Linked DNA regions of Drosophila melanogaster. The protein of the gene in region 1 interacts with the protein of each later gene in a pairwise test. Each region holds a gene or a part of one and is shown on either strand. Other genes may lie near its edges.

What was found.
Region 2: the proteins of ERR (region 1) and sima interact in a two-hybrid assay, tested with the Drosophila melanogaster proteins (2 studies listed by BioGRID).

What each region holds. Positions count from the first base shown.
Region 1 is NT_037436.4:8,182,814-8,187,463, reverse strand, and holds ERR (estrogen-related receptor), read left to right. Parts: upstream 1-1,793; 5' UTR 1,794-1,874; coding exon 1,875-1,897; intron 1,898-2,242; exon of another isoform or gene 2,243-2,421; coding exon 2,422-2,980; exon of another isoform or gene 2,981-3,036; coding exon 3,037-3,945; 3' UTR 3,946-4,103; downstream 4,104-4,650.
Region 2 is NT_033777.3:30,060,952-30,065,964, forward strand, and holds the start of sima (uncharacterized protein), read left to right. Parts: upstream 1-1,970; 5' UTR 1,971-2,126; coding exon 2,127-2,587; intron 2,588-5,013. UniProt on the Drosophila melanogaster protein: Functions as a transcriptional regulator of the adaptive response to hypoxia. Binds to core DNA sequence 5'-[AG]CGTG-3' within the hypoxia response element (HRE) of target gene promoters.

The DNA.
Region 1 (4,650 bases):
CGTAAATCGTTAGCTATATCGGACTGCTCGGCCAGGGAAATGTGTTGATCTCGCGATTTACCGATGGCGCATTACGGAATAGCGAATGGCGCAAACAAAGCGTGGGCCAAAGCAGTAAATATATGTTAATAAATACAATAACAAACTTTGCACTAGTGTGTGTACACTTTTTGGGGCTGCTGATAAAAGCAACAACAACAAACAAAACACACACACACACCCAAACGCTTGCGAAATGTACATACGTGACTGAGAATCGTTTATTTGTACCTATTTGTATAGCTAACACCTCTGCCTCGGCCCTATCAATATACGCAGGACACCGCTGTTGACTAGTGGTTGGCTGCAAGGCGTTTATTAAACTGAATCCACGTAATGTTTAATGATATTTGGATTTCTTGTCGCGCAATTGTTTTTGCTCTGTTTTGCACACACACCAGCACCCACACAAAGGCAAGTGGGACAGCAACAGAGCAGAGCGAACCAGGGAGTGCTAATCGAGAGCAGAGTTGCATGCGCCAGTGCTGGAAAGGGCTGCGTCTGCACCTGAGCTGCATACATATTGAAAATCATTCACTTGCATTCAGGATAAGCATCTACCACGAAACTAATAAAACTAAATGCCATTGTTAGTTATTTTAGAGTAAAACATTATGCAAACGATTATATACATTACTATAAGTTTTATTTAAAAAATGAAATAAGTCTGTAAAGTAATTGCGGCAGTGTTTTAGTTCCGAAAAGCGAACCACCGAATCGTGAGCACGAGCCAGCATAGTCTGCATCCCTGGATAGGTGTTCAGTGTTTGCCAGCCCTGGTCAGGTCTGGTTCACCAAAAAAGAAAATAAAATTACATTTCAATCTTTCCAATATGCAAATATCTGCACGAAAACCAGCGAGAACAGCATGCTCACAATAAAGAGCCCCCAAACAATGTGACTCGTATCCGCGCAGAGTGACGTTTCGTGCCTTGCCCGAGTGCCAAATCCAAATCCCAATCCAGGCGCACAAAATCGATGCAGATGCTGTCTGCATTCTCATAGAAAGTGCAACTGAATAACCGATGGTCGCCAAAAGCCACGATGTCCAGTAATAATGACCAGTGAATAAACAATTATGACTCGAGCATCGAAAAATGCTGAGGAACGAATACATAAGCAATAACAAGAAGGTGCTCAACTCGGACCAAAACAAGTACTACATGCTAACGGTCGAGGAGGCCGATATGTATTGACGTTGTTACAGTGGAGCTGATTACACAAAAGATCCTCAGAACGATTTTATGTAAGTATGTAAACAGAGGCGGACAGGCCCACCTTGGGCCGCAATCACAATCTTCTGGCTTCGGCTTCCCTTGGGCTGATAAGAGCAGAGTGCTTAGTGCTGCTTATCTTTCATCTGCAACCTGGCCGATGTCGTCCGCCGTCTACTTACTACACCACTACTGCCCCCCATTGTCTTTGCTAGCGCGCGTTTTATACCCTGACACAGAGTTGACTGGGTGCAGCAACACACTAATTGTAGGAGCTTTACGATAGTAGGGATATATGACCATTTCCTGGCAGACAGATTATGTATATTGTATATGACTAGTCTAAATATAGACTCGTGTTCAGTGCCTAGCTGATAATGAGGTCAGAGTGCTGGCATTCCAATTGGTTGCCAATTGTTAGGGTATTAAAGCTTCGCTTCCACCACTGTCCCTTTTCGATTTTATTTTACTTCGCTTTTGCCTAATCAATGTCAGCACTGTGCGTCGTGATTTGTAGTACCTTCAGCTGGAAGGTACTCCACGCACAGTGCTGTTATCGCACTCACGGCGCGCGGTTCGGATTTCAGTTCATTTCTGTCCCGTACTTTTCCACGACCACCGATGAAGTTCTACGCGGGAGAAGGGTAAGCTATAGAGCTTGCATACGTTCACTTGTGAATCCGAGGATCGCATTCGAATTGCACTGGACGGACCGCCGTTTGTTTTGGTTTTTGCGCGGCTTAATTACAATTACGTTTTGCATTCATTAAGAATTCCGTGACCAGGTTTCATGCGACTAGCCCAGCACTGTGGGCTCCAATGGCACTACTCATTCATAAGTCCAGATAACAGCGTTGGAATTGTAAAGTACCCGTTTTTGGGTTCTATGTTTACCACTGTGCAGCGCGTTCTATTTGACATTAAACTAAAGCGATCTTTATCGCGGTGATTTGGCGAAATTGAACGTTTTTCCCACATTTCAACTCTTTACTTGTTCATTTCTCTCCGCATTTTGGGTTGATCCTCATATCGTACCATATCGTTTATCCTAAACCTTGTATCTCGAGTCCTCTATCTAATCAATCATTTTCTTGAAGTTCAAATCAAAGGCTTTAACTTGTTGAAACATATTTCTTATTTTATCCGCAACTCTTTTTTTCTCACCCAGCCAAGGCACGAACATGTCCGACGGCGTCAGCATCTTGCACATCAAACAGGAGGTGGACACTCCATCGGCGTCCTGCTTTAGTCCCAGCTCCAAGTCAACGGCCACGCAGAGTGGCACAAACGGCCTGAAATCCTCGCCCTCGGTTTCGCCGGAAAGGCAGCTCTGCAGCTCGACGACCTCTCTATCCTGCGATTTGCACAATGTATCCTTAAGCAATGATGGCGATAGTCTGAAAGGAAGTGGTACAAGTGGCGGCAATGGCGGAGGAGGAGGTGGTGGTACGAGTGGTGGAAATGCGACCAATGCGAGTGCCGGAGCTGGATCGGGATCCGTCAGGGACGAGCTCCGCCGATTGTGTTTGGTTTGTGGCGATGTGGCCAGTGGATTCCACTATGGTGTGGCGAGTTGTGAGGCTTGCAAAGCGTTCTTTAAACGCACCATCCAAGGCAACATCGAGTACACGTGTCCGGCGAACAACGAGTGTGAGATTAACAAGCGGAGACGCAAGGCCTGCCAAGCGTGTCGCTTCCAGAAATGTCTACTAATGGGCATGCTCAAGGTAATTTCATAGTCCCGAGTTAAAGTTCCTAAACTCTAATCGCTTTAACTTTTCAGGAGGGTGTGCGCTTGGATCGAGTTCGTGGAGGACGGCAGAAGTACCGAAGGAATCCTGTATCAAACTCTTACCAGACTATGCAGCTGCTATACCAATCCAACACCACCTCGCTGTGCGATGTCAAGATACTGGAGGTGCTCAATTCATATGAGCCGGATGCCTTGAGCGTCCAAACGCCGCCGCCGCAAGTCCACACGACTAGCATAACTAATGATGAGGCCTCATCCTCCTCGGGCAGCATAAAACTGGAGTCCAGCGTTGTTACGCCCAATGGGACTTGCATTTTCCAAAACAACAACAACAATGATCCCAATGAGATACTAAGCGTCCTTAGTGATATTTACGACAAGGAATTGGTCAGCGTCATTGGCTGGGCCAAGCAGATACCTGGCTTTATAGATCTGCCACTTAACGACCAGATGAAGCTTCTCCAGGTGTCGTGGGCAGAGATCCTGACGCTCCAGCTGACCTTCCGGTCCCTACCGTTCAATGGCAAGTTATGCTTCGCCACGGATGTCTGGATGGATGAACATTTGGCCAAGGAGTGCGGTTACACGGAGTTCTACTACCACTGCGTCCAGATCGCACAGCGCATGGAAAGAATATCGCCACGAAGGGAGGAGTACTACTTGCTAAAGGCGCTCCTGCTGGCCAACTGCGACATTCTGCTGGATGATCAGAGTTCCCTGCGCGCATTTCGTGATACGATTCTTAATTCTCTAAACGATGTGGTCTACTTGCTGCGTCATTCGTCGGCCGTGTCGCATCAGCAACAATTGCTGCTTTTGCTGCCTTCGCTGCGGCAGGCGGATGATATCCTGCGAAGATTTTGGCGTGGAATTGCACGCGATGAAGTCATTACCATGAAGAAACTGTTCCTCGAGATGCTCGAGCCGCTGGCCAGGTGAAAAGGATTATGCGGGCGCCCAAACTAGTTGATCTAGCTGATAAGCAAAGGTGCAAATATAGTCTTAGGTATATATGGATGTATACTAGAGTAGATTAAGCGTAGGATAAGCCATGTATATAAATAGTAAAATACTTGTCGGGTAAGATTAGTTCGCAGAAAAAATCTCTTTTAATGGACTACCAACTACAGCAACTGGAAAACCCTACTTATCTTCTAGAATCGGGGTGTGCTTACACTGGTTAAAGGCGCATATAGGTGTTATGTGTCTAAAGTTGTGAGTCACAGATCTTCAATAATTTGTTCAATTCTCACTGGTTCTGATATATGTATATGCCGCAACCTTCTGATGTAACGTATGAATTTGTGGGCACTTTTAAAATACGATAGTGGTTCTACAATACAATGGATTATACTGTTTCTAAGTGTCATGTAACCCAGTGATTCTGTGTCTATGTGGTACACATGCGGTCAAAAGAATAGCAATGTCGTCCGTGAATAATAAACCGTTTGTAACTGTTGTTTCCATACTCCCTAAGTTCTGTATTCTTTGGGGATTTTCTTTTCCTAAACAAATTCAAATTAGTTTTCTAGAATTCAGTGCATTTGATCGCATTTATACATCACTATTTCCTAATCCATACATAGGCTGATATATCGCAAAACTTCAAAAAATTAACCATGACAAAGGTATTCTGTGGTCCTT
Region 2 (5,013 bases), on another chromosome or scaffold:
TGTGTGTATTGTAAAATATTTAAATGATATGCCCTGCTGTTGTTATTGTTGTTGTTGTTGTTGTTTCATGTCTGGCCACGACGACCTACTTTTTGCGCAATCGAACTAAAAATGTGACGATCCGGGGAGGATGGAAACGCCCGAGGGGGTGTTATGGTGCTACTACATATATATTGTATATGTAGGGAGAAAGAGAAAGATGGATGGCATTGTATTCAAGTATTAGGCTCGTGGAGTTATTGTTGATCTTCTCCTTCTTCTCCTTACATGCTTACACTCTTGCTTGCTACTGGAGCACTGAAAAAAATAACTGGTAATCAAATTTCAAATAGTAAAATCCGAAGTTCAGTCGCTCTCTTAGAAAAAGATAAATTAGTCTTACTGTACCATATTCAATATATTTGTCTATTAATTTTCTTTCTCTGTATGAAATTGAACTTGATGCAGCGAGAGAGACGTATATAAGCGGAGTGAGGGAGACAGCGTGAAGGTAGCGCAGCTTCCGAATCTTTTTCGTTTGTTCAGTTGCGTGTGAGGTCTATATGCATCGCATTCGGTGTAAGTTATGATTCGGCAATTGCTGGCAGGGAAAGTTTAAATTTATATTTAAGGCGATAAATTGGAATCAGTCGCTGAAAATTCCCCACAGGTTTTGTGAAATGAGCAAAAATTTCGGATTAAGATTATTGCGAAACCTGTTTGGAAGTCATTTTTTTGCTAACAACATTAACAAGAACAAAGGAACTTCTTTCTTGGGAATGGATAAGATCTTTACGATGTTCTGTTGTAAACAGCTATTCCTTTGGATTAAGTATTAACCACTGGTCTTGCCACAACTCAATGAACTTCTTACGACATCTTTCGAATTAATTGGTCGTCGTCGGGTGTTACTGTAGCAACCTAAAGGATTGACAGACCTTCTATAAGATAGTCCTTGAATGATGCAAGATGAGACCATAGCTAACGATCACAAGGACTCCTGGCAATCTGCAAAAAGAGAAGCCCAAGAAGCTCACAATGTTAATAACTACTTTTACTGTTTTTTTATATGAAATACATTTAAACATCGAAATAGTTTAGTGATAGACGGGTGTAGCATAAACAGGTAAACAAGGGGTTATCGTAGTGATTTAAGTTGACCCTGCCTGTTCCTTTGCCTTCTCCACGAGCTGATTACATTGCGATTTGATTACGTTTGCTTGGTCTGGGGAACTAGCTTCCCTTATCTCGTTTCACTTTCCGTGCTGTTTGCCAAACTAATCCAAATATTTAACTCCTATGTTATAGTTCTTATCGGCCGACTAGGGAAATCATGGATAAGTCTGATAGTATTTAGTCATCCAAGCAGCTTTTCTCGCACAGTGAAAAAGATCAATTCTCTAATATTTCTTCTCATTTTGTGTGTGCGAATTTTGGTTAGTTTTCGAAATACCTAAAAATGGTTCATCAGTTCTGCGGTTAAATACTCAAAATTTTGGAATATTATATCAAATTTTCACTTCGAAGTGAGTGGCACTGTTTTCTCGGTGCAGAGATTCTAAAATTATAACATGACTTTGCCGTGCACTGCACTTTGTGAGCGAGGGAAATGGGCGGAAAATGGGTCCTGGACGTGCGGAAATTTTCCGGCGTCGCTGCAAAGTAGACTATATGGTCCGAGCCAATTATCGACTGAAGTGGGGCGCACTGACATAATTTATATGGCTCTAATTTGAATCCGCCACTCACTCGATTCGCTGTTATCGTCCCATTGGGCAGAACCGAAGCGCTGGCTCCCTGCCACCTGAATGCTTCTACGAGGCGGGCGGACCGGACTTTATCTTATCACTCCGGCCGGAGCGCACTTGTCCGGATAGGCAAACTTGTCTGATAGCACACGGAATATGACGTTCACGTCGGCTCTCCGCTCTTTTGCGATTTTTTTTGGTGCGGCTGCCCAGGTATAAATATGATGGCTTCGAGGCTATGGAACCTTTCGCTCATTTAGCGCTCGAACTCCCGTACGTCGTGTTCTACCAAAATATCCGGAGCAGTGAAGTTGTGGCCAAATCAAAACACTATCAGCTCTTATCGCACGCGTGTGTGTGTTCATCATCGATGGGCTTAGCCGGATTCCAGCGCACTCAATGTTTAATTCCTTCGAGAGCTGCGATTTTTCGTGTACCGGCGACATTTCGTTCTACGGCGAAGATGTGATCCCCGGTTCTAGTTTCTACGAGTGCGATTCCAAGCCGCAGCGGCAGCGGCAGCTGAGCAGAAATGGCCCAGCTTTTGGGCCAATGCCCATCAATGAACCCACTGTGAACTTTGGCAACGGGTCATTCTACAATGGCCCTGCTCCCGGAAGCCAACCCTTCGTGGGCGCTATGCTCGGCCCCAATATGTCCTCCACTGGGATGCAAAGGTACCATCCGTACCATCAGCAGCAGCCCCAGGACGCCTTCTATCGCCAGAGGGGATCGCTTCTGAACGTGGCCACGCCCTGTCGCGAAAGCCGCCCCTGGAGCTACGCCTACTGCTATGGCTACGCGCCCACGAACACTCAACCTTGCCAGTTCTCCCAGTTTGTCGACATCGAGGATTTCATGTGAGTGACGACCAAAGTGGTTGGTCAATTTGTTGTTTTGGGTAATTCTGTGATTTTGCGTTTTTCACGAAGGGTATTCCTTAATCTCATTATCAAATAGTATTCAAGTACGAATATTTACACAATTTTGCTTAATAATTGTTGTTACATAACTGTGGAGAGCTCTAGCTCATTCAAGTAAACAAAACAAAAACCAGTTAGAATCGGTGGCCGAATGCCGCTAGCGATTTACATTTTCCTGGAGGCACCTGAACGAGCTGAGCTCCTAGAAAATTGGCCGTGTTCCATTGTAAAACCCGAGCCGAAAGCAAACGGCGCTGCACTTATCTATGCTTATTTGTGAATCGCTTTTATAATAATATTTAGATACGCAGCAAAAGATAGGGCGAGGGGGACGGAACTATGGCGCGAGAGAGGTGTCGTATGAGTCAAGGTTCGGTGGGTTATTCCCAAGAGAGGTACCGTTTATAAGATTGTGGGCTGGAAAAGACTTTTTCTCTCACTTCGATTGTTGCGTGGAAATAGTAAATTGCTTGTCAGTTGTGCTGTTGTGTAATTGTTATCTGCCGCCGATGATTTTATGTGGGGTATTTCCCAAGGAGTTATCGTTAGGGGTCTGCTGAAGGTTTCACAATCCATCTGGTTGATGTATACGATTATCTGGCGATTGACGCAGATTACAGCCCCTTTCCCTGGACTTCACCTCCTTGAAAACTTTGCATGCAACGTGCGCAGCAAGCAAATGTTTTCGTAATGGTAGTCGGATTTGGTTTATTTACGTTTTGCACACGTTTAAGCCAAATTCGGCTGGCCCATCTCCATGCTAATGAGCCGAAACCAAACTGACGCAATTGCAGGACGGCGCTGCCCGAAGAACTCCACCCACAATATGGTGCTCCCAAGAAGAGACCAAACATCCCTGACCCGCTGTTGCGCCTCGATTTACTGTCCCATGAACTTGGCATTAGCACTTCGAGTCGTATTTTATGTGTTTTCGCTGATATCTCGCCCGGAGATACGGCGCACTTGGAGGTAGCTTGGCCAACATTTCGCAATGCTCGCAATTCAAACTCAAACAACAGCGGGTCAGTATCCTAAGGTGTTGTCGGATAAGCCAGCAGGACTTAGATGGCCACGTGCGGCGATCGTGGTGTTTGCATATTCAAACTCATTTCATACACAAAGTGCGGAAAATGGTATCTTAAGATCAGCATACTACATCATTATAATCATCATACGGAAGGGTAGTACACATATTAAGGTGTGCTTTCAATATTATAGCTTAATTTTGTTCAGTGTTTTGAGCTGCTTTGGAGCGGAAATACTTAGCAACAACAACAGCAGCAGCACCAGCGGCAATAACAAGGCAATTCTGCTGGCGCAGGCAGAATATTTAACATGCCGTACTTGCCTCTGTTCTAATGAACAGACAATGGGGCCGATCGAAAATATATATATGTATGTGCATACCTCCCAAACCAAAACCCCACCCCCCCGGCGAATATCCCACCATTTAAGCAGGCCATTAGCATGCAATTCAAAGTCACTCTCCGCCGCTTTCTATGGGCCACGAGCTAGCAACTATCGGATTTGTGTTTATTAATGCATATATAATATATATAGAAATCCACGGGTCTACGCCTATATTAGTATTCACTTTGCTGGCGAAGTAATATAATACTATATAATAATTATTTGAGCAGCCATTCGAGTTTCGCTTCAAACTTTGGTTTCCATCCATCAGTTGGTTGATTGACAATGAAAAGCCCTCTTATCTAAACTGGTTTCTGTTTTATTTATTTTTGATTTATTTGAATGCATTGTTTCTTCACTTTCACAGAGTTTCCTAATCAACGTTTTATCTGGGCGTTCAGAATACTCTTTTAATAATAGAAATTCTTTCGAGTGCAAAGTCAAGTTTAGCATTTGTTTATGTTAAGATTTCCTCTGTTTACAATCGATCGATTAGTGGGGTCCTATCTCATATTTAAATATGTCATAATAGAAGATTATGTTCAACAACTAAGTAGTTTGCTTCGATTTATTCAATTTATTTACTTACAGTAAAAGAAAACGGGAATACTGTTTTTAATAGATACTTAAGCCATTATTAGACAGGCGGCAGACTGACAATAGATCATATTGTACTGTGACTTTGTCGGCTGATATGATGGACTTTTGATGATTGCGACTCCTCCGTTGACAGGCGGTACTTAGGGTTTGTTAACAAAAAAGTTTGATATTTTCGCGTTGTTACCGGGCAGATTTTCCCAAGTGAACCACCTGACGTGTTCAGGTCTTTTTTCATCCCAGCGGATCAATAAAGCAGCGTTGGCAAATTTTGAACAAAATGCCAGGAAATAAATGTACATACGTGCTGAAATGGGCGTCACCCGTGGATTATACAAGTTCGCCCACTATATCGA